4 linked regions of the Saccharomyces cerevisiae S288C genome follow. Changing the gene in region 1 together with any one later gene gives a genetic interaction. Each region holds a gene or a part of one and is shown on either strand. Other genes may lie near its edges. The genes, in order: ZNF1, YHL048C-A, RBG2 and PUG1.

Region 1 (8,443 bases):
ACGAGTCTGGTACCTATAAGTCTTCTCCGCTGCCATCGATTTCTGAGCTCGTTTCCCAGATGCTTCCTCTTCTTCTCGATGAGGATGAAGACCGTTCTTATGTGAAGTTTGAGCCCAAAGAGGACGTAGTTCTTATGGTTAACAACATGGGTGGTATGTCTAATCTAGAATTGGGTTATGCTGCAGAGGTCATTTCTGAACAATTGATTGATAAGTATCAAATTGTGCCCAAGAGAACGATTACTGGAGCATTCATTACTGCATTGAATGGTCCTGGGTTTGGTATCACTCTTATGAACGCTTCAAAAGCTGGTGGCGATATCCTTAAGTATTTCGATTATCCTACCACAGCGAGTGGATGGAATCAAATGTACCATTCTGCCAAAGATTGGGAGGTACTTGCCAAAGGGCAGGTTCCCACCGCCCCCTCTTTAAAGACATTGAGGAATGAAAAAGGTTCGGGTGTGAAAGCTGATTATGACACTTTTGCTAAAATTTTGCTTGCTGGGATTGCAAAAATTAACGAGGTTGAACCAAAGGTTACTTGGTACGATACCATTGCAGGAGATGGTGATTGCGGAACTACTCTTGTGTCCGGTGGTGAAGCATTGGAAGAAGCTATTAAAAACCATACGTTGCGCCTCGAGGATGCTGCTCTTGGTATCGAAGATATTGCGTATATGGTTGAGGATTCTATGGGTGGTACGTCCGGTGGTCTGTACTCTATCTATCTTTCTGCTCTCGCACAAGGAGTTAGGGATTCTGGGGACAAGGAACTTACTGCGGAAACTTTCAAAAAGGCATCAAACGTTGCACTAGATGCTTTGTATAAGTATACGAGAGCCCGTCCTGGTTACAGGACTCTGATCGATGCTCTGCAACCTTTTGTCGAAGCGCTGAAAGCCGGGAAGGGTCCCAGAGCCGCCGCCCAAGCTGCTTATGATGGTGCCGAAAAGACAAGGAAGATGGATGCCCTTGTTGGGCGTGCTTCTTACGTGGCTAAGGAGGAGCTGAGAAAACTCGACAGCGAAGGTGGATTACCAGATCCAGGAGCAGTTGGTCTTGCTGCACTACTCGATGGATTTGTTACAGCTGCTGGGTACTAGAATTGCTCGTACACACTAGAAGCCAAACATAACAGCTTTAAAGGCTTTCATTTTTGAACTTTTTAAAAAATTGAATACTCCAACTGAAGGTGAACTAGTTGTGTCTCTGAATATATTTTTATAGATATACGAATTGATGAAGTACCGCAAATTAAGCTAAAAAGTAATGCTTCTTGCAGCTTTTAATTGTTCTTTCTGCAATCTACAATTACTTTTCTTGATTCCTTCTCCGTTCCCCTGTGTTGTCTGGAAGTATAATTTGTCCAGGAAGATTTTTTGAATAGCCATTGTTTTCTTTAAATTAAATCGGAGTGTTTAAATCCATTCCAATCTCTTTTTTCTCGCAAGTCAACAAACAGGTGTTAACTTTCTTTTCCCCGCTGTTTTCTTACCTATGAATAGTCTCAATTCCTTTTTAGAAGATCTGCACATTCTCTGATACTATGAACAAGTTCTAGGATAGCAATCTAAGTTTTATGATTCTCTTATTTCGGATTCGATTTCAATAAAGATCGTAGTATTAGAAGTATAGAATGTATTGTAATTTTTTTTCCTAATCTTATTAATTCATGGAAGGCATTGAACTCAACAGCATATTTTAAATGTTTGTATCTTGTTTTCTCTTTCAAAAAAAAAATGGTGTCATTCATTATTTTATGGTCAACCCTATACATCAATTTTTCTCTGAAAATATTGACAAATAAAGTAGTTGATTCTTGTTCTACCAATTAGTGATATTATGCATGACTGTTAACAACTTTTTGACTAATCTCTGAAATCATATGAAGATCTTGCTGCATTTCATGCATCTAAGAAATCAACCTATATCAACAGATTTCAATAATTACTCTAAACTTATGCTGTAACTTAGAAAGTAACCAGCCTGTGTTGACTGATTGAGTTGCGTATTAACTGCGCCTAGTCATTTCAACACTTATAATTTGCTTCAGCTTAAGTGTGGTTCATCTTTTTTTTTCTGGAAACTTTGCATGCCCTCAAAGCATGAGTAGTTAGTTATCTTTTTGACAATGATCTCTTTTGAAAATATCTACTGTAGATTTGCATGGACGCACGTCGCCCATACGCCAAACTTTGGCAATGATACTCGTTATTCGTAATATCAGTCCGTCAAGGTGCTGTGATTTCTCTATTTTATATTGCCTATTATTTTTTCAAATGATTTGAGCCGTTTTAAATTGAGTATGCAATGAGTCTTTTGAATCAACCGTAAGGCAGTTCCATAACCACTGCCACGAATACGTTTCACTACCTTGAAGAATCTCTAATGTAGGCCGTATTCTTCGCACTTAGTTCTGACGATGTAGACATCTCATTATATAAGAGCATAAGCGCCTGTTTCTAGAATCATTTCTTCGTGACCCAGCTTTTTGAGTTATTTCGCGGTATTTTGAAACATTTCTCGAGCTTGACGTGAACATCCTTATATTTCATGACAAACTCGATCATTGGAACATCCCTGCCTCGATTTTAGAGCTAGTATCAAATTTCAATCTCTTTGTGATGGAGCCCCGCTCCTATTTCAAAAGAGAAGTTTCTTGTATGCATATGTTATTGAAGTCTGATTATAGCAAGTGCAATGTCGTCTCAATTATTTTAACTATTTTTAGCCATACATGTTAGTTATCCTCAAAGAGAGCCTCCAGACTGGGAAGCAGTGTTTGTCATTTCAAATAAGTAGATTTCACAGTTTGTATGATTTTCGAAGCCAGGATTCATTGGGCTTTGAGTAAAGAGAAGCCGCGTATTACGAACAGCTTACGATATTGTAAAATATTCCCTTATTGTGGTGCCCCAATGGATACATGCCAGAGAAATGTCTGTGAAATTGAACAATTACAATGACGAGAGCAAGTAATCCGGCGGCCTTGTCTCTCTTTCACTAGTACCGTCTATATCTCTTGAGCGCCAATATGCGAAAGCTTTCACAAGGTTGATGTTCATGGTATTCGGCGTCGATAGCGAATTGCTTACTAAGAAACATTAGGGTGCAGTACAGCCTTGTTTTTCCAGTTCGACTAACCTTTTTCTTGGCAGTATGGAGACTGACTAGGTCTCCCAAACATTCATTGTAACTGCTGTTTAAAGATTTTGTTCTAACCTAAATTCAAGTGAGAAGCTGAACATGTGTCTCTACTTATGATATCACGACAGCAAATACTAATCTTGCCATAAATAGTCTAGCGTTTTGCAACTTACCTCTAGATATATTTTATTTCTTGAGGAACCGTTTTCGTCGGTAATAACAAAATACTACTGAAACGCCACAGCATTGAGAGAATACGTTATCGATTACGGCTTTCTTCTCGCTCCAGATGTCGCGGGTAAGATATTCACCTCAAACTTTTCTTGTTGAGTGTCGTCACAAATCTAGAACCTACATGCCATCTCAACGATTTTTCTGGAGAAAGGCCTCACTCCGTTCCGTACGTAATGCATAGATAAAGTATCAGGATCTTCACGATGCTCGAGAGTTACTTAGTAGTCTGAGTTTATGCGAAAAAAACTCCGCCGTTGTAATAATCGGGAATACACAGAAGTAGTACTGCACTATCACTGGGATACTCAAAAACCTTCTTTTTAACTTTTCTATCCCACAAATAGAACATAGGAAAGAACATTGACTCCTCCACTTGAAGTTAAATTACAGGAACAAACGCCTAACTATAATTTCGACATTGTTGCATCAACGAATCGACCGAAAGAAAAATCTGGAGTTGCAGTTATCACTTGTATGTGCACTAAGATTTATATTTTTACTCCTGAGATCTGCCAAATCGGTAGCTTATTGAACTGCGTTCCTTTTTCCCCTGAGTTCTCGAGGTACCTGCGGCTTTGTCTGTGCCATCTCCCCCACTTTAAAGTACCCCACGTTACTACCGCGTTTTTCCCCACCCCCGGCTTAATAAATTAGCTATATCTTGTTGACTTAAATACGGAGAAAAGAAGAAAACCTTCAAGAAATGCTTCATTGTCTTGTCAAAAGAGCTAAAGTAAAAGAGCTCTAGTTCGAAGATGGCCCGCAATAGACAAGCGTGCGACTGTTGTTGCATTCGTCGAGTAAAGTGTGATCGTAAAAAACCATGTAAATGTTGTCTTCAACACAATCTGCAATGTACATATCTTCGACCTTTGAAGAAAAGAGGTCCAAAACCCGTCAAGGTGAGAAATTTAAAGAAAGTAGATGATGTACAGGTATTTAGTAAAAGTAGTAGTGGTGGCATAATGAAGGTTCCAAAGGCACTAATTGATCAGTGTCTGCGGCTCTATAATGATAAGTTGTATGTGATCTGGCCTTTGCTGTGTTATGATGATCTTTACGAACTTTTAGAGAAAAGATATGACGAAACCTGTGTGTATTGGTTCCTGGTATCTCTTTCTGCCGCCACGCTTAGCGATTTGCAGACTGAAATTGAGTCGGAAGGAGGGGTTACCTTTACTGGGATACAGTTATCCAGTTTCTGCATGTCATCACGCCAAGAATTTGACGATTTTAACGGTAGTGATATATTCAAGATTATGACGTACTATTGTCTAAACCGCTGCTACGCACAGATGTCCAACTCAAGAACTTCGTATCGGCTTTCTTGTGAAGCCGTGGGGCTCATTAAGTTGGCGGGGTTCCATCGCGAGGAAACTTTGAAACTTCTTCCTTTCGATGAGCAGCAGCTTGGAAGGAAAGTTTATTATTTGCTTCTCTTAACGGAAAGATACTTTTCTGTGTATACGCATTGCGCCACGAGCCTGGATACCACGATTGCTCCACCACAACCGGAGAACGTAACGGACCCCCGACTATCTCTCGACAGCTTCTTGGAGATGATTAGGGTATTTACTGTACCGGGAAAATGCTTCTTTGATGCTCTAGCTACCGACTCTGCTAATGTAACCTGTACTGAAGACTCCCTTAAAAAGATATGGAGGGAACTTCATACGGTGCCACTTGAGATAGAACCATGGTCTTACGGCTATGTAGACATATCTTTTTCACGGCATTGGATTAGAACACTTGCTTGGAAGCTAGTGCTTCAAATAAGCGGTATGCGAATCAGTTTCCTTTCAAATAGCAAGAATACGCATATTCCAGTAGAAATTGCTAGAGACATGTTAGAAGACACATTTTTAATCCCAAAAAATCTTTATGCAGTTCACGGTCCAGGGATATCAGTGAAAGCACTAGAAATAGCCGACGCATTGGTAGATGTTGTGAATCAGTACGATCAAAATGCAGAGTCGGAGGCTTGGAATTTTTTGTTCGATATATCCAAATTTGTCTTCTCTCTTAAGCATTGTGATAGCACATTAGTTGATAAGTTTACGACAAAGTGTCAGTGTGCGCTTATCACGCTTCCTCTTTCTAATCCGCTTGAATCGACAGATGGTTCTAAAGAAGATGTAGATGCGCTTCCTTAAGTAAACACATTGCTACTTGCATTTTACCTTTCAAGATGTAGTGATTACGGACAGTTGAAGAGGCTAATAGCATCTATTTCTTCTTTAGTATATGGTTCCTGCAGGGCAAACAATTATTTCCTTTGCAATTTTGCGGCAGTGGGGAAGAATGATAGCACTAATAGTGAACTTGTGGACAATTATGCTATTATAGCAAGAAAAAAAATTTATTTTTTTTTCAAGGGGGGTGATTGTGATGTGAATTAAATCAAGGATATACGCTTTTATCGTCATGATAGTCGTGCGATTTGTACTTGGTTATAGATGAAATGAGTTAGTTTTTAATAATTGTGATCACAATATAGCTGTACTTATCAGGCCATTAAAGTTTCCTGTAAGGTGCACGAGAAGTCATGGTCATAAAATTATCAGAATCTCCAAGGAGAGGTTCAACGGCGTCGGTTGCCCATACTCCATATTAAGTACCCTGTCATTTCCACAGTTACATTAGTTGGAGTAGTATAGAAACCAAAAAGATCAGAACTCCAATAGGCAGTATTTGGGTCACAGTATTCAGTGTCACGTTTTTTAGTTTCATAAAGAGGTCCGCAAGGATCATATCCATCCTCATCACGCTTCAAAACTGCATAAGTCACACAGGTAGGAGTGCTCTCACAAGGCGGACTATAGTATATGGAGAGATTGGTCTGTCCGCTAACGGAACCTAACTTCTTTGTATTGGAGTATTCATAGCCCATATATTCAGGCTCCAAGTATGTGGTTTGGTCGCCTATTGTGTACTCATAAAAATTAATATTCATACCATCTTCCCTTTTGTTTGTTGGTAAGCAAGCTTCTGTACTGGCTAAGGTTGTAGTAGCTAGCGCCACGAAGACCAAGAGTGCCGAAAATACGGAATGGGGTATAGACATTTGAAGGTGTGGAGGGATGCTGGTATCCTCCAATTGTTACATTAAGATTATCATCTGGCTATCATGAAATGAAGGTTACCTTTATATAAGAAAGACTTTTAAAAAAATGTTTTGTTTTCTGCTTTAGGGAAGTAGATATCGTTCCTGCATTTTGATATCAAAATAATCTCCGGTAGGCATCAATTGCAGTTAAAGCTCTTTCTGGCAAAAACCCCGATACCCATGTAGGTACGCTCTTTTCACCAGGTCTTAATAATTTGATGGGCACCGTTTATCCCAGGCAAGCCAAAAATTAGAAACAAAAAACAACTCACGTACGTTAAAAAACCTGATAGTGCTTCGTACTACATAGAACCCTGCGCTGTTATCTGCTAATCGAGCACTACTAAATTCCCTCCAAAGGAAGTAGAGTATAGATTCTATGCACCGATGTGAAAATAGTAAACCTACGATAACCTTTTTTTTTTTACTAACCGAATTGAGCAGATATTGTTACCTGTTACGGTCATAAAAGTTAAACGATTTTGCTTTATTTCTGTCCCTGGCTGAAAATAGTAAAGAAGAGGGAAGGCAAGTTCAAGGGCAGCTTAATAAGTCATACGAAAACGTTCTCGAACTTTTTTTCTGCAAGCTTTTCAGAACCACGATGGAAAAAAGAAATTTTTACAACACTAATGCCAAGTAAGGTTTTTCGGATTTAGGGTGGCGTCCTGAAAAAAAAAGAAACGTCTCAGAACGTTTCGGAGAAAAAAAAATAAGGTGTCAAATTTCTTAGTGTTTTGACGGGTGATGCCCTTCCAGATAAATCTCGTGGAGATTGGCTAGCGTCAAACGTCACCGATCTCTATTTCTTTTTTAGGTTATTAAATTTCGATTACATCGCGTGTTCTTAGATAAGTTACCAAGGGTGCTCAAAGGAAAATTATATTTCTTTTTTTCTTTTGAGTAATTGCAGGTGAAGAGATACAGAGCAAGGAACGTGATGTAATGCATTTTTTTTTTTGTTCCTTGGAACCACATGATTTACTCAACAAATTAATCTAGTTTGTGCTTCAAGCATGCACCATTGTGAATATTTTTTTAGTTTCAAGGTGACAGGTTATGAAGATATGGTGCAAAAGACAAATGTATGGTGGCAGGCATAGTAAAATGATGGTGTGGAAGACATAGATTGTATTTGTTTTGCATTATCCAAGTGCTCGAGATTGGTTCTAAAAAACAAGAAAATAAAGGGCAAGAAGAAAACCAGTTACTTCTACATTGAGAGGCCAGCCAGGTTGCCGCACACGTGTTGGTGCACGTTAAGTTTTGGGCTCACAGTGGTAAATCATAGAAAAAGCAGTTGCTTAATTTCCCTCTTTTTCATATTCTCTACGCTAGCACTGTAAGGAAAAACGCAGAAAGCAACATACAACGTTTGTTAGGATGTTCGTACTTCACAATAAGCAGACAATAACCATTTCAAGTGTAAAAAAAATTTTTTTTCTGTTAGTTTGATGCAGAAGACTTATACTTTTAACTTTTTTGGTTAACTTACACAAACCAAGCGCACAACGCCTGCGCTTTTTAGTATTAGATGGCATGATTTGAAAAGCATAAAAGTCTGGATATTGGAATTTAGGGAGGCGGCGGGATAGAGCGATAGTTTCTCCCCATATAAAGTCTACAAAATGTGTGGGTTTTTGATATCGATCGAAATTTCACAAGGTGTTCTATAATGACTAACATTTTTGTGAGCAGTTGACTCTCCTTAGTGCACATTGTGGAATATGTATGCCATGTCTCTTAAAGGGGTAAAAAGAGGTATTCTGCATACTACCAGTGGGGTTTATAGCATCGTTTAATCTTGTTATCCTGTTTCGGTTTCGGCAATTTCTTTCAAAATTCTGTTTTCAATGTTATCTGGGAAAGAAATGTTTCGAAAAATAATACGTAAATTGTTCCGACAAAAGAGTTCTTGTCTATGATTATTCAAAATGCTGACTTTTTATTTAG
Region 2 (7,171 bases), on another chromosome or scaffold:
AAAGCTGTGGCTGAAGTGATGGGTCCTGTTATGCCAGTAACTTGCACCTGCTTTAAGAAAACGGAATATACTTTCAGAACGTAGTCCGTAACAACCCTACTGGAGTTTCTGTGCTCCGATTCCACAAATCTAAGACAGTTACTCACTAATCTGCACAGAAGCTGAAATGATACAGCTTTTCACTAAGGGCAAGTTAAGAAGATAACGTGGTGAATTTTACCCAGTAGCCTTTTTACACCTTACTTTTTTCTATAAAGACATGAGATCCTGGTAGAAGAACTTTGCTTGTGTCCTTTCCACTTGAGCTCCAAAAACAGTTGTAACTCTTTGGGCCAAAGGAAATATGATCGAAGTCCCAGAAGACAATCGTTCTAGCCAAACAAAGCGTAAGAATACTGAAAAAAATTGTAATGAACTGATGGTTGATGAAAAGATGGATGACGATTCGTCGCCCAGAGATGAAATGAAAGATAAATTAAAGGGAACAAAATCATTGATTATTCGTAAGTCTGAGCTAATGGCTAAAAAGTATGATACTTGGCAATTAAAAGCTATATTCCTGTTTTCTGCATTCATTTGCACTTTCGCTTATGGATTAGATAGCAGCATAAGGGGTACATATATGACCTACGCAATGAACTCGTACTCCGCACATTCTCTCATTTCTACAGTAAGCGTCATAGTTCTAATGATATCTGCTGTTTCACAGGTGATCTTTGGAGGGTTATCAGATATCTTTGGAAGGCTAACGTTGTTTCTTGTATCCATTGTACTTTACATTGTGGGTACAATAATTCAATCTCAAGCATATGATGTCCAGAGGTATGCTGCTGGAGCTGTCTTTTATTATGTGGGACTTGTCGGTGTTATGCTACAGGTTGTTTTGATGTTGTCTGATAATTCTTCATTAAAATGGAGGCTATTTTACACATTGATACCTTCATGGCCCTCGATTATCACTACGTGGGTCTCAGGTAGTGTAGTGGAGGCAGCAAACCCGTTAGAGAACTGGTCGTGGAATATTGCTATGTGGGCGTTCATTTTCCCTCTATGCTGTATCCCATTGATTTTGTGTATGCTCCATATGAGATGGAAAGTAAGAAATGACGTGGAATGGAAAGAATTACAGGATGAAAAATCGTACTATCAAACGCACGGATTAGTACAAATGCTGGTACAGTTGTTCTGGAAGCTAGATGTTGTCGGTGTGTTGTTGTTTACTGCTGGTGTTGGTTGTATTCTTGTACCACTCACTCTTGCTGGTGGCGTCTCTACAAATTGGAGAAATTCAAAGATTATCGGGCCCTTTGTGCTTGGCTTTGTCCTGGTTCCAGGCTTCATATATTGGGAAAGTCGACTTGCTTTGGTTCCTTTCGCTCCATTCAAGCTGCTAAAAGATCGTGGCGTGTGGGCCCCATTGGGAATTATGTTTTTTATCTGCTTTGTATATCAAATGGCTGCTGGGTATCTCTACACCATTCTAGTAGTTGCGGTAGATGAGAGCGCTTCCTCAGCTACAAGAATAATAAACTTATACTCTTTTGTGACTGCTGTTGTTGCTCCATTTCTGGGGCTCATCGTTACGAGATCATCTAGATTGAAGTCGTATATTATTTTTGGTGGCTCACTTTATTTCATTACTATGGGACTATTTTACCGCTACAGGTCAGGTCAAGACGCCGATGGAGGTATAATTGCTGGTATGGTTATTTGGGGTCTCAGTAGTTGTTTATTCGATTATCCTACAATTGTTTCTATTCAGTCGGTAACATCCCATGAGAATATGGCTACTGTCACAGCATTAAACTATACAGTTTTCAGAATAGGTGGAGCAGTTGCAGCTGCCATTTCCGGTGCCATATGGACGCAGTCATTGTACCCTAAATTATTGCACTACATGGGAGACGCTGACCTGGCTACAGCAGCATATGGCTCACCACTAACTTTTATTCTTTCCAATCCCTGGGGTACTCCAGTTAGGTCTGCGATGGTTGAAGCTTACAGACACGTTCAAAAATACGAAGTTATTGTTGCGCTTGTATTTTCAGCGCCTATGTTCCTTCTAACATTCTGCGTAAGAGATCCTCGGTTGACTGAAGATTTTGCCCAAAAGTTACCTGACAGAGAATATGTCCAAACCAAGGAAGATGATCCTATCAATGACTGGATCGCGAAACGTTTTGCAAAGGCCTTAGGCAGGTCATAAGAAAGATTTACAAAACCCCAACAGGATATGTGTTCGAAAAAATGATCTCTGATATGCGCAGTAATTTTTGTATGGTACATAAGATGAAGCAAGATAAGTGATAGTAATATTTGTTACCATGTATATGTTTAATGTGATAACACAAAAGCGTAATATGAGTAATGTTTCAGTAATGTTTCACACATAGAAAACATATAGTGGAAAACGTATTGTAGCAAACCTCTAATCCGGTAGTACTTGAGAAATTATAGCTTCTGTGTACAAAAACAGTACCTATGTAATTCTTACATTTACATAACATATATAAACTTACTACATTATGACATATAAGCTAAATCGTAATTTACTACGTCAACAATATGTCATAGTGTAGTGATATCATTTGCGATTATATCCTACAAAAAAAAAGCACTTATATGACCAAAAATGTATTATCTGGATTTTAAGTTACCGCTTTAATATATGATGTTCTAATGTGAAGCCTGTGTACATATTGATTAGTATGAAAACATTATTGAACTTTCATGTTAATGACACCATGGCAGTATTCTTACCCCAAGTAAAGTGTTTCAGTCTTATTGCTAAAGGGTAGAATATTTTTATATTTAGGTGATTTTAGTGGTTATTTTTCTATAACAAATATTGAAAATAAGTGTTTTTGAATTTAGTGGTTATTGTATGGTGTAAAGTGATAAAACATATGCGAAAAGGAGTATTAATAATAATAAACAAGTAAAATACGTTTTGACTTACTGATATTCGATCAACTACACATAGTATATTTTGGAAAAGGAACATTTGTTCCTACTTTAGGGGCTTCTCATTGCGGGCCGATTGCGCTTCTTTAATGTATGGCCATAGCTCAACGTTCAACGAAGCAAACCACATAGGTTTTTTTAAAGATAAGAGACGATAGAAAAAGCGCCTAAAAAACCATTCGCAGTCAAGTCCATCGTAGAAAAACTCTTCATTATTCCAGACTTTTTTCTCAAACAAATACCTATTCATTTTCTTTGCAATTTCGTCCCATCCATTCGCACCACTTTCTTGCTCATTTATAATAGTTGACAAGAACTGCATCTTGTGTTCCATTTTCACGGATAAAACAATCATCCTCATATTTTGGAAATCTCTCGTCATGATAAAAAACATTACTACCGGAAACAAGAAACGTGATATAAGGTCAGCATTTCCAGACGTGTAGACAATTAAAAAATAATAAAGGAAGAGTGGTAAACACCGCAGGTTGAAAATCCTTTTAAGAATCCAGGTAAGCTTAAATCGGTAAGCTTCTTTGGGGAGCTGAATGTCTTCCAGGTCGAAAGGACTCTCTTCCTTCTCAGTATTAAACAGCTTCCACTCTTTGTCAAATCCTGCAGCATACACTTGCAAGGCCTCTTCGATATAAGGAACGGAATCCTTAAATGACTTAACCTTTGCAGATTCGTCTTTTTTTAAAGAGAAGGGTTCGAGAAGGGTTGTTTTAAACGCTTTTTGGCAGCTCATGGCATTGAAAAAAAAGTACTTGGTATTCCAAGTCTTATTTTCATAGAAGTACGAATTTAGATTTGCTGCAACGACTTCCCAATCATGAGGATCCGAACTTGGTGTGTCTTCAGTAATCTCTTTGCAAAACTGAATGAGTTGTTTCGATAAGGAACGCTTACGAGAAAGTCCACAAATAACAAGGACAAAAAATGGTCCCAGGAACAGGACAAGAAGTGAAACTATAAGTGGGTGAATCCAATTGCTGGAAAGTTTCCACCAGACGCTAAGTGGTAGCCATAACAGCATCCAGATGCGAAACGCTAAAGACTTGTAAATTTCATAACAAAACCAGGTCAATTCGTTTCGGAAAACATCTTGAGGTAGAACGGTCTTTTGGAATTCGAGCTGTTTGAAGGATAACACATCTACGCTTTTCTCATCTTTGACTTCATTCTCTTTCATTTTCGGTAGTGAGATGGCAGTTCGAGGGGTTTTTTATTCGAAATAGTAACTTCTGACTTTTCGCTTTTATACAGCACAGCAGAAAAAAAAAGCCGCCGAGGCGCGCGCGTTCATGCAATGGCTCAGTAACCTCGTGATAGAAAAAGGGAAACAATATTGGGCTATTTTAGGCAAAGAAACTCAGCTATTCGAAAAGGGCATCCATTTCATTTCCGGTTTTCTATCTAGCCAACTCGATAATCGTAATAACGAATTTACAAAACTTTAATGCGGGTGCATCACGGTGTGCCGTAACTTTGGTTTACATTTAAGGTGCGACCAGCAATGTCACTGCTCGTACAGCGGTTACCGCTTGAATGAAATACATATTTTAAGCGTAGATTTCCTGTGACAAAACTGTGTAAACATCTAGTAGAAAATAGACGTAGCTGTCACAAATATTTACACAGGAAAGAGTCCGTCCTACGTATCTGACATGAAGATTCATAGAACCAAGTTACTTACAAATGTGGACAACCTTTCAATACCATTTTTTATCCTTATGCTTGGTGTCACTGTAAAATTGATCAAGGCAAAACCTAGAGGTACGGTGGTGCTCAGATCATGCATGACATCTGGGTAATCACCACTTCTCCCGCTTGCTTTGAGATTCTGTATAAATATTGCAAACAAAAGGGTAGAGCACGGATGGGAGGCCTTATAGTAAAAATTATTCGTTTTAATCATGCGTCAGTGTGAGATTCTATGACAATAGTATGAGAAGATAGGGTGAAGTAAAAGCGTCTGTATGACTATAGAGTACAGTTATATTACAATATATGGAATAGAGCATAGTGGTATGACGGTATTAAGGAACATTTAAGTTAATGACGTCATGGTGGTATTGATACGCAATTGAGTGTGTTTATGTACTATGGTTGAAGGATAGAATATTTTTATGTTTAGGTGATTTTAGTGGTGATTTTTTTGTAATATTGGCATAAGTGTATATAAATTGAGTGGTTAGTATACGGTGAAAAAGAGGTATAACGTATGTATTAAGAGCAGTTATACAATATTTGGGGCCGCCGAATGAGATATAGATATTAAAATGTGGATAATCGTGGGCGTTATGGGTAAATGGCACAGGGTATAGACCGCTGAGGCAAGTGCCGTGCATAATGATGTGGGTGCATTTAGTACTGATTTAGTGAGAGATGGGTCATGGAGTGGAGTAGAATGTGAAAGTAGGGTAAGTTGAGAGTGGTATATACTGTAGCATCCGTGTGCGTATGCCGTACCAGTATACAAGTGCAAGTGAGTGTGGCATGTGGTGTGTGTGGGTAAGTACGTGTGTATTATTTACGATCATTTGTCAACGTTTCAACATGGTGGGTGGGACATGGAGCATTAGGAAGTGACTTGGTACGCCAAAAAGGGCTCCTCTACCTCAGCGGGGTAATAAAATTTATCCACGAAGCGGCTGAGCAACGAACAGAATCCTGGTTCTCCTCGACTAAGCAGACGGTTAAGATACTGTGCACCATGGAAATTGAAAACGAAAGCACGTACCGACTGCTTTATTTTTGCAGGCCGGAAATCAAGCGATGAATGAGACATCCTTCTGTTTTCTATGTTGGGACAGACAGTCGCTTATCTTAGTGAGATTTCTTATTAACTGAATTTTCTTTGCTGCTGCTGGAGATTTGCACCTGCATAGCGCAGATTCTGCTTCTTCTCAATAGAGTAGCTTAATTATTACATTCTTAGATGATGATAAGACGGAAACTGGACAATCTTTTGTTTATATTGATGGATTTCTTGTCAAAAAGCATAACAATCAACATACTATTGTTAATTTCGAAACTTACAAAAATAAAATGAAAGTTTCCGATAGGCGTAAGTTTGAAAAAGCAAACTTTGACGAGTTTGAGTCGGCTCTAAATAACAAAAACGACTTGGTACATTGTCCCTCAATAACTTTATTTGAATCGATCCCCACGGAAGTGCGGTCATTCTACGAAGACGAAAAGTCTGGCCTAATCAAAGTGGTAAAATTCAGAACTGGTGCAATGGATAGGAAAAGGTCTTTTGAAAAAATTGTCGTTTCCGTCATGGTCGGGAAAAATGTACAAAAGTTCCTGACGTTTGTTGAAGACGAACCAGATTTCCAGGGCGGACCAATCCCTTCAAAGTATCTTATTCCCAAGAAAATCAACTTGATGGTCTACACGTTGTTTCAAGTGCATACTTTGAAATTCAATAGAAAGGATTACGATACCCTTTCTCTTTTTTACCTCAACAGAGGATACTATAATGAGTTGAGTTTCCGTGTCCTGGAACGTTGTCACGAAATAGCGAGTGCCAGGCCGAACGACAGCTCTACGATGCGTACTTTCACTGACTTTGTTTCTGGCGCACCTATTGTAAGGAGTCTTCAGAAAAGCACCATAAGGAAATATGGGTACAATTTGGCACCCCACATGTTTTTGTTACTACACGTAGATGAGCTATCGATTTTTTCTGCATACCAAGCAAGTTTACCTGGCGAAAAGAAAGTCGACACAGAGCGGCTGAAGCGTGATCTATGCCCACGTAAACCCACTGAGATAAAGTACTTTTCACAGATATGTAACGATATGATGAACAAAAAGGACCGATTGGGTGATGTTTTGCATGTGTGCTGCCCAAGTTGAGAAGAGATACTAACAAAATGACCGCGGCTCTCAAAAATAATTGACGAGCTTACGGTGATACGCTTACCGTTATCCAGAGCTACAGCGCAACGTATACGTCGACGATACAACAAGAACGGTTCATCGGAGCCTCGACTAAAGACGCTTGACGGACTCACTTCCGAGCGCTGGATTCAATGGTTAGGCCTTGAAAGCGACTACCATTGTTCATTCTCTAGTACTCGGAATGCGGAAGACGTAGTGGCAGGTGAGGCGGCGAGTTCAGATCATGATCAAAAAATTTCAAGAGTAACGCGAAAAAGGCCCCGAGAGCCCAAGAGTACAAACGATATCCTCGTCG
Region 3 (7,396 bases), on another chromosome or scaffold:
TAAGCAAGTAGAACAAATCAGAGCTCAGATCAAGAAAAATGTTCACGATGGGTGCACCCTAACACCCTTCATTCAAGCGTGCTTTCTTGTAGCCCTGTATAGACTGGATAAGCTGTTCACAAAATCTCTTCTCGAGTATGGGTTCGATGTGGCTATTCCAAGCAACGCAAGAAGGTTTTTACCAAACGATGAAGAGTTAAGAGATTCTTATAAATACGGCTCCAACGTTGGAGGTTCGCATTACGCCTATCTAATCTCCTCATTCGACATTCCCGAAGGTGACAATGACAAGTTTTGGAGTCTTGTCGAATACTACTATGACCGCTTTTTAGAATCGTACGACAACGGTGACCACTTGATTGGTCTGGGGGTCCTACAACTTGATTTTATCGTTGAAAACAAGAATATAGACAGCCTTCTTGCCAACTCTTATTTGCACCAGCAAAGAGGCGGTGCAATCATCAGTAATACAGGACTTGTCTCGCAAGATACGACCAAGCCGTACTACGTTCGGGATTTAATCTTCTCGCAGTCTGCAGGCGCCTTGAGATTTGCGTTCGGCCTAAACGTTTGCTCCACAAACGTGAATGGTATGAACATGGACATGAGCGTGGTTCAGGGCACTCTACGGGATCGTGGCGAATGGGAATCGTTCTGCAAGCTCTTCTACCAAACCATCGGCGAATTTGCGTCGCTTTAATGCGATACTGCCGTAGCGGGCCTTCGTATAGCTCGGCCGAGCTCGTACAAAAGGCAAGCAGTGTATCGGACAGAGCTGATATAACACAATACGCTCGTAGTCGATGCATGCCGTGGCTGCTCTCGGTCGGGTATAAGTCTTAGACAATAGTCTTACCTCGCATGTATAATAAATCTTTTGTATTTAATCTATTATATGTTTCTATGCTTTTTTTTCCTATTGTTGTTTGCTTTTCCTTTTCCTTATTTCTTTCTAGCTTCTAATTTTCTTTCTTTTTTTTTTTTTTTTCATTGAAAATTATATATATATATATATATCAGAACAATTGTCCAGTATTGAACAATACAGGTTATTTCGAACAATTGAAAAAAAAAAATCACAGAAAAACATATCGAGAAAAGGGTCATGTCTGCTGTTAACGTTGCACCTGAATTGATTAATGCCGACAACACAATTACCTACGATGCGATTGTCATCGGTGCTGGTGTTATCGGTCCATGTGTTGCTACTGGTCTAGCAAGAAAGGGTAAGAAAGTTCTTATCGTAGAACGTGACTGGGCTATGCCTGATAGAATTGTTGGTGAATTGATGCAACCAGGTGGTGTTAGAGCATTGAGAAGTCTGGGTATGATTCAATCTATCAACAACATCGAAGCATATCCTGTTACCGGTTATACCGTCTTTTTCAACGGCGAACAAGTTGATATTCCATACCCTTACAAGGCCGATATCCCTAAAGTTGAAAAATTGAAGGACTTGGTCAAAGATGGTAATGACAAGGTCTTGGAAGACAGCACTATTCACATCAAGGATTACGAAGATGATGAAAGAGAAAGGGGTGTTGCTTTTGTTCATGGTAGATTCTTGAACAACTTGAGAAACATTACTGCTCAAGAGCCAAATGTTACTAGAGTGCAAGGTAACTGTATTGAGATATTGAAGGATGAAAAGAATGAGGTTGTTGGTGCCAAGGTTGACATTGATGGCCGTGGCAAGGTGGAATTCAAAGCCCACTTGACATTTATCTGTGACGGTATCTTTTCACGTTTCAGAAAGGAATTGCACCCAGACCATGTTCCAACTGTCGGTTCTTCGTTTGTCGGTATGTCTTTGTTCAATGCTAAGAATCCTGCTCCTATGCACGGTCACGTTATTCTTGGTAGTGATCATATGCCAATCTTGGTTTACCAAATCAGTCCAGAAGAAACAAGAATCCTTTGTGCTTACAACTCTCCAAAGGTCCCAGCTGATATCAAGAGTTGGATGATTAAGGATGTCCAACCTTTCATTCCAAAGAGTCTACGTCCTTCATTTGATGAAGCCGTCAGCCAAGGTAAATTTAGAGCTATGCCAAACTCCTACTTGCCAGCTAGACAAAACGACGTCACTGGTATGTGTGTTATCGGTGACGCTCTAAATATGAGACATCCATTGACTGGTGGTGGTATGACTGTCGGTTTGCATGATGTTGTCTTGTTGATTAAGAAAATAGGTGACCTAGACTTCAGCGACCGTGAAAAGGTTTTGGATGAATTACTAGACTACCATTTCGAAAGAAAGAGTTACGATTCCGTTATTAACGTTTTGTCAGTGGCTTTGTATTCTTTGTTCGCTGCTGACAGCGATAACTTGAAGGCATTACAAAAAGGTTGTTTCAAATATTTCCAAAGAGGTGGCGATTGTGTCAACAAACCCGTTGAATTTCTGTCTGGTGTCTTGCCAAAGCCTTTGCAATTGACCAGGGTTTTCTTCGCTGTCGCTTTTTACACCATTTACTTGAACATGGAAGAACGTGGTTTCTTGGGATTACCAATGGCTTTATTGGAAGGTATTATGATTTTGATCACAGCTATTAGAGTATTCACCCCATTTTTGTTTGGTGAGTTGATTGGTTAACTACAGCTTATAAGGGAGAGAGGATAGGAACCGTCAAACATTAAGCTGCACCTTTTTTTTTTATTACAGAAGTCGGCTTGGAAGGCTTGTATAGTACATTACGATAAACACATCTTATTTTTATTTATTACTTATTTATTTTACATATTTTCAAAAAAATTCACATATCATTTATTATTAACCGAAGTGTTTTATACTTTTTGTTCTTTCCTTAAAAATGCCTCCAACAGAAAAGGAAAAATGGCTTGATATGCTTCAAAATATGCATTGAGATTCATATTCGGTTATCAATTAACGATATTACTTCCTTAAGTGATATTAAATCAAGCTTGCCGGATTCTGCAGTCAGAATTATACATAATAGTATTTGTGCTCTCGTAAATCCTTTCAGAATTACACCATAGTAGTCTTTGTGAATGTTCTACTTATTAGAATAGATTATTGCTAGTTTATCTCACTTTTCATTCCCCATATCCCTTTTTTTGCTCATCCCCCGGGGTATTTTATCAAGATAAAATTTTATATACATGCAGTGCGCGATAACTCCTAGAGAGGCAGTAATAGCAAAACAAAGACAGTATAAGCATTATTTGGGTATGGAAAGACCATTGTGGGTACGTTGGTTGAAAGTCTATGCAATTGGTGGCGCTATTATTGGAAGCGGGTTTCTGCTTTTCAAGTACACAACGCCAACAGATCAACAGTTAATCAGCCAGCTTTCCCCAGAATTACGTTTACAATATGAGAGGGAGAAAAAACTACGTCAGTCGGAGCAGCAGGCTTTGATGAAAATTGTTAAGGAAACTTCTCAAAGTGACGATCCAATTTGGAAGACGGGCCCCCTTCAATCACCTTGGGAAAGGAACGGTGATAACGTTCAAAGCAGAGATCACTTTGCTAAGGTGAGGGCGGAGGAGGTGCAAAAAGAAGAGTTGGCTAGGATCAGAAATGAACTGTCTCAGCTAAGATCTGAAACGGAGGAGAAAACAAAGGAAATAGTCCAGGATAAGCAGGTTAAAAGCTGGTGGCGCTTCTGGTAGATGGGTCGGGTCACTCAATTAGGAAGGGCAGCTTGAACTTTTGCATCCTAAAACATACGTCTGTGTCATTTATGATATATTATTTATTTGTACACTGTAAATAGGTTTAAAAATATAACTTCATACTTATTTTTAGCTATTTTAGTTCCCATACTTGGGGATGGAAAAAACATTGCGCAAGCCCGGAATCGAACCGGGGGCCCAACGATGGCAACGTTGGATTTTACCACTAAACCACTTGCGCTTGTTATTTATATGAGATTATTGCATCATGCAATGGGGTAATGTCAAGGTTCTTGACAATCCTAATATAAACAGTCTTAGGGAAGTAACCAGTTGTCAAAACGGTTTATCAGCTTGATTCACGGGATCTTACTTATCCTATATATTATATAAAATATGGATCATACTAAATGGTGGAAGCGCGGAATCTTGGATCTAAACCAATTGTTCAGATACTTATACGTTAGAGTAGGTTAGCTAAGGAAGGCAGAGTTTTATTTTCATGTTGCTCATTCTGTTCGTTTTGCTGTAAGGTTGTTTCATATGTGTTTTATGAACGTTTAGGATGATGTATTGTCATACTGAGGTATCCCATTCTGAGATACAACAGAGAAGGTTCCTTTATACTTACTACACTAGGTACCACTATTATAATTTCGAGATTTCATTGTCATTCGGGTTTATTTATTCATTTGAAGCCCAGAATGACAATTTTTATGAACGGAGCTCTTCAAATTACATTATAAAAGTATATACGAATATACCATGAAAGTAACACCTTCCGGTTCTCACTAAAAAACCTATTTTCAGCATTTATTTCTACTACAAGGAAAATGAGTCCGTTTAGTCATGCAAAATCTCTGCTCCGTACTACAGTTCTCGATGCTGATCTTGTTTTTTCATGTTTCTTTAAAATCTATTCATTTATACTATTTCGCGAATAAAGAAACTACATCTTCATCATCAATCCTGTGGTTTAAGCCGCACTTCTGAGGAGAATGTTTGGCAGAAGAACCCCAAACCAATGCGTATTTGAACTTATCTTTGAAATCCCTGTGGATACCATGACATAAGTCACCAATAGTGGAATTATTTCTTACCACTAGAGGATCATCAAATACTGGTCTAACACCTCTCTTCTTTGTATACACACGACTCAAGTTCAGCTGGTACCAAATTTCTTCAACGACGTCTTGTAATCCCAAATCCATTTCACAGGACATAACAACGGTGTTTGGCTCTCTGGCAAGTTTATCCACCTCTTCTAATGATACTGCATCTATCTTATTATACACATAAAGACATTTGACATAATTTCTATGTTGTTCGTTAATAACATCGATAAAATCATCAATCGTACATTGGTCATCTCTTACCAGAACTTCTGCATTATGGATACGATAATCTCTCAAGATCATTTTGATTGCCTGTTCGGTTAAATTGGTCTTTGGAGGGGAGGTAAACGTAACTTTCACGCCACCAGTTTCTTTTTTCTTATAGTAAATATTTGGTTTCTCTTTATTAAGCCTGATGCCTACATTTTCCAGCTCCTTCTCCAAAGATGCTCTTTGATGTTCACTCTTTGTGGCATCTAAAACCATTAATACTAGATCTGCGGTCCTTGCTGTTGCAACAACTTGCCTACCACGACCTTTACCCTGCGAAGCACCATAAATAATACCTGGAAGATCCACAATTTGGATTTCTGCACCTTGGTACTTCAATACACCAGGAACGGATGTCAATGTCGTGAAAGCATAATGAGCGATCTCAGACTTGGTGGTGGTAATTTTACCCAATAAGGAGGACTTACCGACGGAGGGGTAACCTATTAAAACTACTCTAGCGTCACCTGATTTTGCCACTTCAAAACCAGACCCTCCTCCACCACCACTACCAGCTTCATCAGCTAGCAGTTGTTGTCTGTATCTAGCCAATTTCCCCTTCAAAAGACCCAGATGATGTTCTGTGGCCTTATTTTTTTGGGTTCTGGCCATTTCTTCTTCGATGGCTTTGATTTTGTCGATAATACCCATTTTGTAGTGCTTGTTACGTTAGTTTTGATAATGCGTATCTCGTTAGTACTTGTTCAATTCCAATATCAACAGCTTCAATATTGTACGACTTTTATAACTGGGTTTAAATCTCATCGCTATTATCACGAAAATTTTCACTTCGGGTAACCATTGATTATTTTGCTATTTGAGTGAGGTAACTACGTGACACGAACCAAGTCATCTTATAACAGCTACAAATTGGACGGGAAGTACTGCAAGACAACTATTAGTCCCTCTCGAGATGTCTTTCTACAATACTAGTAACAATGCTAATAATGGCGGTGGCTTTTATCAGCCTTCTGCACAATTTGCCGTTCCCCAAGGGTCAATGAGTTTTCAAAATACCGTCGGTTCTTCTAATACTGGCAACGATAACAATTTGGGTGTTGCCCCCGACCCTTTGCCTGTAGGTATTTTACATGCTCTTTCAACTAAGGGATATCCACATGAACCTCCATTACTGGAGGAAATTGGAATAAATTTCGATCATATCATAACGAAAACTAAAATGGTTCTTATACCAATACGTTTTGGTAGTGGTGTGCCACAAGAAATTCTAAACGATTCAGATTTGGCTGGGCCTTTGATATTCTTTTTGTTATTCGGACTTTTTCTATTGATGGCTGGAAAGGTTCATTTTGGATATATCTATGGTGTCGCTTTGTTTGGTACCATTTCTTTGCACAATCTATCGAAATTAATGAGCAATAACGATACTTCCACTCAAACGAACCTACAATTTTTCAATACAGCGTCCATCTTAGGATACTGCTTTTTGCCTCTGTGTTTCCTTTCTTTACTGGGCATTTTCCATGGTTTGAACAACACTACAGGTTATGTTGTATCAGTACTATTTGTAATTTGGAGTACTTGGACCTCGTCTGGATTTTTAAATTCTTTGCTCCAATTGCAAAATGCAAGATTGCTAATTGCCTACCCACTGTTGATTTTCTACAGTGTTTTTGCCCTCATGGTAATTTTTGTCTGAAGGGAATTGGCTTAGGGGCGATATTTGTATATATGTTTTTCTGAACTATGTTTGAATAAAGAGTGTATACAGCATTACATAATCACACTTACTTCCTTGTATAGTGCAAGCAATACCAGTACTAGGCAACATTGGATTACGAAGTGCCTTCTCTTTCTTTAAAAACTAAAACGTAGTCCAATGGTGGTTTCAAACAAATAAATCCGCACAACTGTGAAAAAAGAATGTAAATTTTAATGTTACTATTCTCCAGAGGTAAATAAGGAAAGCATAGGTTTTGATCGAAAGAAAACATGCAATGTCGATCAATTGTGCATCGTCTGTACTCTAAGGTCTCCCACGTAACGACGCCAATTTTCTATCCCAATGCCAAACCGCACCTCGGCCATCTTTACTCCAGCTTATTAAGTGACGTTTACCATCGATGGCAATTATTTAAAGGTAATCTATCCTTCTTTACCACAGGTACTGATGAACATGGATTGAAAATCCAGTGTGCTAGTGAAAGCAATGGCTTCGATCAGCCAAAAAAGTTCGTCGATAAGCTATACCCAGAGTTTGTTCAATTAGACAAAATATATGGCATTAATTATACAAGATTTATAAGGACTACGGATCCTGACCACATTGAAAACGTGATGAAATTATGGGAACTTTGTTTGAAAAATGGCTATATTTACATGGGCGAACATAAGGGTTGGTATTCCATTTC
Region 4 (7,716 bases), on another chromosome or scaffold:
GTTCAATGAATTCTCACTGCAGCTATATTTTGGATGCTTCTCCACTTTGTAATATACATTGTGATGTTTCTTTGATGAAAGATATAAAATATTAAAAAAAGTTGATTCTTACATCTCATCTTTGTCATAAAAATCCTCTGGAATGGCACCTTAGAATTTCTAGGCACAGGAAACTATTCGATTTTTCTAATATATGAATCTAAGTCAAATTCAATATCTATGTTATTTCAGAAAGTGGAGTAGGTGTGCTTTTAAGAGAACGGATTTATGACGGAAAACTAGGTTAAATAGACGAAGAAAAGCTGAAGTAATTATCGTTTTGCTGAAACTTTCAGGATAATCCCTATCATAATATATTCCTATCAAGCGATGAGCAACGGAAAGCTGTGAATTGTGAATGTAACAACAAGACTATGTGAAGCAATTTTTAAGAGTTATTTCATTTAGCAATCTTTTGAGACCCGAAATACTCAAAGAACGATAAAATCGTGGGACGAATAATTAGACTAGCAACAATAAAAGGAGTAAATACAACTAGATTTGTGAGTGTGTGTAATTGCGTGTAGCTTGAAAGACTTACCACAGTGGTATCAACACCATACTCGAATCGTTCTAGATCTTGCATAAAAAAAGGACATTTACTTTTACTTACTAGTTATGAGCCACCTTTGATTTCATGGTACAGCCCATAACCTTCCTGAAAGCGGTGCATAACGTAAGGGACTAGATTAGAATCACAAAACCTTTTATTGCATTCTACAGTATTCGTCTAAATCAAGGGATTTTATTTCCTAATTGAAAGTGATCAATTGTTTAGGTGCATACTTGGTTTTTACTCTCCGAGGTTTTCTTTAGTAATACCAAATTCAGTGTCCTCCCAAAATAGATTGAGAAGGTCTGGTAGAGATTCTGCAGTCACAAAATTTTCGAGGCTACAAAAGTCCATGCCAACTGAAACACTGGTGCTGCTGGGTGACAACTTCTCATAACAAGCACCTTCTTGATTTTTTCCCTGTACGCCAATAACTCTATTATTCACCAAATCACCCATTTCCCTATCAAGAATGCTGAGAATTTCTTTACGGAAGCTTGATTCTTTGTGTTCGCCTATAATATTCCTGTACCAGATACATTCAATGTCCAACGCAGCTTGACCAGCATCTGAGCAAGCCTGGCCATATTTTTTCAATTCACAAAACAGCGATTCCTTAGCCATTTTCTGTGAACGTGTGTACATCTGACAGCAGATGCGTGTTAGGATGAAAGAAACCGCTGTTCCATTTTCCAACTTTTTAGAGAAGGCGTTGTTGCCCTTGAAATTAACATTGCCAGAGCTCACAAATAAGTCATTATATGAGGCTATCATGCGGCACATCAAGGATAAATAACATATCGAGTTCCTTCTAGGGGTCTCGATAAAATTCAAGGTAATATTCATCAAGATGGCATATATGAACCACGAACAACGGAAAATATAGAACGTATCTTCGTGCTTGAGAACATCCGTCAAAATATCTACAGATGCTTCAAAGGTTTGAAGCCTGATGTCCTTTACGCAGGAATCAAGTTCAATTCTCTCTCTTTCTTGTAGAAGATTTTGTATCCTTAAAATTAAACTCTCCATTCCCTGAAAACAACAAACCTTTGCAAATCCGAAATGGGTGTATAGTTCAAATACATTACTATTTTCAGAATATTGTTTGAGGAAAGGGATTAGTTTGTCTTGTATGCACTGAAAAATTTTACATATTTTTGAAAACTCTACCATAAGCTGTCGTGCGGTTCCATTTAGGTCTTTAGCGTTAGGAGTTGCAAATAATCTGTAGTCTGTAAAGTGTCGATTATAAAGCAAACCAGAGAATACCGCTGTAATAATTTTCGTTAATAGAATATAGCCGAAAGAGATACAAATATCAAACTTACTTGGGTCGAGCTCCACCAAGTTTATTAAAGTAAAACAGTCCATCGAATCATCTACCCCTAATCCAACCACATCCTTGGGAAAGAGACACGAAGTCATTTCATGTGGTATCAATGGCTGCTTACCGGTGACCAATGAATACCATCTATCCCACCAGTAGCAGTCCCACCATAACTTACGATATTCTTCGGCAGTGTCCTCATCCTGACCAATATAATATTCCCAACGATTCAAACCAGCATCCAAACTTCGCCTGGACATCGTGGAAATAATTCTTCCCAGCACAAAAGGATCGTCTATCCAATATCTGTGTTTCATCAACGAGACTAAGCCCTTTAAAATAGTCAAGTCGTACATTGTCGAAAATAGGGATCTTTCAAAATATTCAAGACAGAGACAAAAAATCAACTCATCTTGCTCAAGAAAATATTTCAAAGGAAGTAATTTTTTGGAACTTTTACGATCCAACGCCTTGTGGTGCTGTTCCATCAATTGTACTCCGTACATAAACCAGTCTGTTGGTTTATTGAATTTGATTGTTTGGTTAATGTTTGTATTTCCTTTGATTTCATTCGATATATTTGACATAATGTGTTGAATAAGTACGTCGTTCCCACATGAAAGTCCGTTTAGCTTTGAATAATACTCTAAAGGAGATATCGAAGTTACTTTAGGACCAGCATGGCTAGCAGAGCTAGCGTCAAGAAACTTCAAAAATAAATAGATAGTTTCTCTCGTCTCCCTATCATTCGAACATGAAATCAATTTTTTAGTTATCCAGCTAATACCCGTAGAGGCAAAATATAGCAACGGTGAATAGACCCCAAAGTACATACTGACATTTTGTGCAGTATTGCTTTCAAAAGCGTTGGAGAACCTATTCAAAGATTTTGACTGTTTCCCGATAATTTCTGTTTCTATCGATTTCAGGCCACCATACGAGCTAATTTCCTTACTGTCCAGATTGAGGTAAAGCTGAGGTTGTATTTTTTCAAGCTCAGTGCAAATGTTTGCTAGGCCTTTCTGTAAAGAGGCCGGTGCGCTTGGAGGTAACTGTGCCTTCAATTTTGCTATGCTGCACTTAGCATTATCCAAATCATTACTGAGACTACCAGTATAATTGAAAAAAGCCTCAATCGGTTCACGAAATTGATTTCTATACGTACATTTTGATTGAGACCCAATACACCCAAAACATGGCTTCTTACTGTTGCACTTAATCTTTTTCCTATGGCATCTATCACAGGCCTTGGTTACCCTAGATTTTTGTTTGGCTAATCCTCTTTTTGCTGCCATCTCAATAAAATATAAAAAGCTAAAAAGCTTAAAATTTAAACAACAATAATGTCGTTAACCTAATGCGCTTATTCGATGAGATTTGGATTTGCTTCTAGCTTATAGAAAGGAAGAAAGTTTTTACTGTTCAAAGCACACATCAAAAAAATTATTACCCAGCCTTTCAAACAAACAAAGTACTCCAAAATAGTTATTTTTGAATACTAGCAAACCAACCAATCACTTTTTTTGTTGGATTATCAAATAAGCCTAATCAGGTCTTTCATGCAGCGTTGAATCCAGGTTACTTCACCGCACCTTAAGTTAAGATCAGGACAGTATCGGCTGTTCCTGAGAAACCAGCCATATTCAAGTTTCGGTATCCTAACCGTTGATATTGTCCTTATTTGTCGACCTTCAAATATTGTGGCTGCCATGTATATGAGCGCCTCGATCTATTATGACTAAGCCATGCGATTGTCGTGTAATGGTATCGCGCATACTGAAGGTTTCAGCCCTGTTTTGATGTGCCGCGGCAAAGTGGTTTTTCTCCATACAGGATGAAGTGTTTCTTTCCCCATGCCGCGGCAAGCTCATCCTAAATAAATCTCAACTTTTCAACTAAATGTACTTCAATTGAACAAATGCCAAGACCTCAAATGAATCAGTATAAAAGCACCTACCGAATCAATTGTGGGATGTATAGTCTCTTGCCTCAAAATGTCCAGGATAGTAGGTTAATAGTGTCCAATTACATAGCTACTTAATCTTTTATTGTCCATCAACGTTCCAAAATGTCCACAACTGATTCGGGGTTCGTACTTTACCACTATACGCCAAGTAAAGCGGCTGCAATCGTATTTGTCGTACTCTTCATTATAATGACAGTCATTTTTGCCGTTCAAACTTTATATGCTGCGAGAAAATCTTCTAAGGCATTGAAAAATAATCCATTTGAGTCATCTGATGATAAGGTCGATAGTCTTGAGGATGCTGAATACAAGCAACTAAAAATCACACCCACAGTTTTTGCGTTTATACCTTTCTTCACTGGCTGCATCATGGAAGCTGTCGGGTATATCGGGAGGGCTCTATCCAGTTCCAATCCTGAAAGAACGACCCCATATATTATCCAATCTGTTCTTTTATTAGTCGCTCCAGCACTAATAGCTGCGACGATTTATATGATTTTTGGAAGGTTATTACATGTTATGAGGTGCCAATCTTTAATTTTGATTTCTGCACGCTTTGGTACGACTTTCTTTGTTGTGGGAGATGTGTTTAGTTTCTTTTTACAAGCTGCAGGTGGCGGACTAATGTCTAAGGCAGGATCAACGAAGACTGGTTCAGGACTCATAACTGCGGGTCTTTTTGTACAGGTAATTTTTTTTGGATTTTTCATTATCAATGAGATAAGATTCACAGTAAATGTTAAAAGGAGATGCTTATTTTACGAAGATATTTCCAGAAAGTGGATCTTTGTGAATGCTACCCTATTATTAAGCAGTATGTTGATCCTACTACGTTCAATTGTCCGAATAGTTGAATTTATTCAGGGATTCAATGGCTATATAATCTCTCATGAGTATTTCATATATGTCTTCGATGCTGTACCTATGTTATTGGTAATAATAGCATTTAGTGTGGGATCCTTTTTCGGCAACGTATTCGATGTTATAAAGGAGTGTCAAACGTTAAGTAATTAGATAATATATATCAAATTTTGATTTCTATGTAGTGCAGCCAATCAATTTTAACTTCATTTAGAATAAAAATCTTTCCTCTTCTGCTTTGAAGCCATTAAAACGAAAGATCTAGGCGGTACTATTTCTCCATTCTCAGCCGTACAATCATGCACCGAAAAGGAAGGCAATGTATTGAATTTTTCGCCGAGAACAAAATATTTGTAAACACTCGTTAGATTCCGCATTGTTAAGTGGCATCACAAACACAATCAAGATTAAGAGAAAAGTAGCTCGTTGAGAAAGATTCTTGTACATATCGGGATACTTCTGAAGTCTAATAAAACATTCAAATAAAGACAGACTGGATAAAAGATTCCTGAACGTCAAAACTTATATCTTCTTGTCCCTTGGAATGTCTCTCTGCTCTTATATTGTTGCTGTTGAGTGGTCTCATGACAATAAAGTATGTCACTGAATTGAAGACTACTGAACCATGGCAGCTAATACAATCACGCCCATCCAGAAAAGTGTCGTGTGGCGAAAATTTTTGTTCACGTTGAACAGAGGGTACTGATTTCAAAGTGCTCTTAAGTCGTAATGACGGCCCTAATAATGATTTCCAGACCCTTTGGAAGGAGTTTCTTCTTTAAGTACTGCCCTCCCTGATCTATATTTGTAGGAAATTTTTAAAGTACCTAGCCTTTTTCTCAGTCACGGCTGTAGAGTGTACACAGAGCCTTTGAAGTTTGGTGCTTTACGAAATTAAAGCAGTCACCTATGTCATTTAGCTACAAAAAACTCGTCTAGAAGAACAGCACATCGGCCTCCTATATCGGTACTCATCACAGAATCAATGTATAGTATGTGTCAAGGAGAATGTATTAACGCCAAATTAAAGGCACACTAACATGTAATGAAGCTGGTGTTATATATTTTTTTTCAATTGACGTGAAACTCAGTGTCTTAGAATTATTTTTTAGTTCAAAGAGTACGGCTATTGAAGTGAGCCACAATGTCATTTAGCTTTATAAACACAAGAGTAAAAGTGCGCTTGTCTTCGCCTCAATGAATTAATGGAGCAGAAAATTTCTTAACGGTCAGCAATACTTGAAAATAATTTTAGCAGTTCAAACTTTCGTTGTTATCTTGATACTGAACTCTCCTTAGTATTCATATAAATGATTCTATTTAATAGTCCCCTCCGCAGGGTAATTTTAAGGCCTTCTTTTATTTCCAAAGGAATTAGTATATAGCATATAATATAATTTATCACCAAATCAACAGAAAATATCATAATAGCATTAACCCGCAAGAATTTCTTTAAATGAACACAGTTTTCTGCAGTGTTAAATAGAAATTTCTAATTATCCTGCATCCAAGACATGAAATCGGTATATTCAAGGAAATTTATTAGCACTGAAATGCATATATTCATTTTTGTTAGCCACGGAACTGAACTCTCATTATAATGTGGCGGTCCGGTTTCCCCTAAAAATAATTGAGGGCATATATGCATATCTTTTCGAGACTCAGGTTGAAAAAGAGCCTCCTTAGTTCTGCACATACATCCAATAGTAGGGCAGGAGTCCCAATCAAATTTAGGTATGTCCTCTATGCTATCACCCACCTCTGGTAAACAGCCAATTGCGGCCTTTATGATGAACAGTGAGGAATTCAAATTAAATTTACTCTCTGAGGTGAAAACCCATTTCATAATAACCTTTTTATCCTCTACAACATATACTGATCTAATTTCAGAGCATCTAACCAGTGTCAATATCCTAAAATCTTCCTTTTTTCCGAAGTTGAGCTCTAGTATGTGGGATATTCTCTCCTTATTGCGATAATAGCTTGTTTTCTTCACCTTAACAGTGCAAAAAAGAACTTTAAACAGAGTGAAACCGTCGCACTCTCCTTTTACCTCATAATCCGACTCTTCAGGGAAGTCCCCATTTTTCAATATCTCGTATTGATAAAAAAGAAAACCCACATAATCTCGCCTAACAAAAAAAGGCTTCTTAGTGCGGAAGGCAAATAACGGCAAGCCCTCTCCATCCGCCGTAAATGACTTGAAGGGATGCTTCCTACTTGCAAACAGATTTATAGATCGTTGTGATTTGAATATTAGATCGTCTTTGAAAACACGAAGCTTGACCATTCCAGTTTTCGTTACAGTATCAAATTTAAACTTATCCGGAACATCCTTCCTGTCTTCGTTAGCGTAGATTTCTTCTTCTATAGCCTTTACTCGAGGCTCGTAACCATCAGGATGCCACAGCATGATACTGTTTACAGAACTCGATCATATACTAGAACCTTTGACTTCGGTAATCAGCCCGCATCCTATGCTTTCATTTCCTTGGCGTATGTTACTGACTAGTTTCCTGGCTTAAAATAGGAGAATTCATCCTCTTAGTTATTTTCTTGGTGGACCACGTGCCTTGCTTAAAGCAGGGCGCTGCCGTTGTTGCAACAGCATTTTCAGACTTTCCTTTAGGTAAAAAAGGTCAACCAATAATTTTATTTTATTTCTGATGATGGTTGCGCGTTCCAAGAAAATCAAAACCTTGGGCCTCATCCTCTTCTAAGACGTATAATGCAATCAAGAAACCCTTCCCAAAACCTAATAAAGGCTTGTTATTAGTTTCAAATTCAGGCAGAACTCGACTTGGATCTTTTAAACTTTTAAAGTCGTAGAAAATAGGTGCATAATTAGCTAAAACAGAAGAGACTCACCATTTGAATTATATAACTTTATTAATTCGAGTAAAACATCCATCAGGTATAGCGTGTTGCGGAAAGACTTTTTTTACTCTTATTGTAACAAATATGTGT

The links.
Region 2: mutations in ZNF1 (region 1) and YHL048C-A together harm fitness more than expected from each alone (negative genetic interaction), as found in Saccharomyces cerevisiae (one large-scale study listed by BioGRID).
Region 3: mutations in ZNF1 (region 1) and RBG2 together harm fitness more than expected from each alone (negative genetic interaction), as found in Saccharomyces cerevisiae (one large-scale study listed by BioGRID).
Region 4: mutations in ZNF1 (region 1) and PUG1 together harm fitness more than expected from each alone (negative genetic interaction), as found in Saccharomyces cerevisiae (one large-scale study listed by BioGRID).

The regions. Positions count from the first base shown.
Region 1 is NC_001138.5:24,093-32,535, forward strand, and holds ZNF1 (DNA-binding domain containing protein), read left to right. Parts: upstream 1-4,139; coding exon 4,140-5,537; downstream 5,538-8,443. Other genes in the region: DAK2 (dihydroxyacetone kinase), read left to right, coding at 1-1,106; YFL051C (uncharacterized protein), read right to left, coding at 5,966-6,448. UniProt on the Saccharomyces cerevisiae protein: Transcription factor that regulates respiratory growth and plays a critical role in stress adaptation during non-fermentative growth.
Region 2 is NC_001140.6:3,386-10,556, reverse strand, and holds YHL048C-A (uncharacterized protein), read left to right. Parts: upstream 1-4,759; coding exon 4,760-4,894; downstream 4,895-7,171. Other genes in the region: ARN2 (siderophore transporter), read left to right, coding at 344-2,206; COS8 (Cos8p), read right to left, coding at 3,011-4,156; YHL049C (uncharacterized protein), read left to right, coding at 6,016-6,831.
Region 3 is NC_001139.9:842,133-849,528, reverse strand, and holds RBG2 (Rbg2p), read right to left. Parts: upstream 5,676-7,396; coding exon 4,569-5,675; downstream 1-4,568. Other genes in the region: ATF2 (alcohol O-acetyltransferase), read left to right, coding at 1-700; ERG1 (squalene monooxygenase), read left to right, coding at 1,106-2,596; YGR174W-A (uncharacterized protein), read right to left, coding at 2,788-2,874; CBP4 (Cbp4p), read left to right, coding at 3,124-3,636; transporter YIP1, read left to right, coding at 5,938-6,684; methionine--tRNA ligase MSM1, read left to right, coding at 6,978-7,396.
Region 4 is NC_001137.3:555,464-563,179, forward strand, and holds PUG1 (Pug1p), read left to right. Parts: upstream 1-3,990; coding exon 3,991-4,902; downstream 4,903-7,716. Other genes in the region: TOG1 (Tog1p), read right to left, coding at 833-3,217; YER186C (uncharacterized protein), read right to left, coding at 6,242-7,162. UniProt on the Saccharomyces cerevisiae protein: Involved in inducible protoporphyrin IX influx and heme efflux.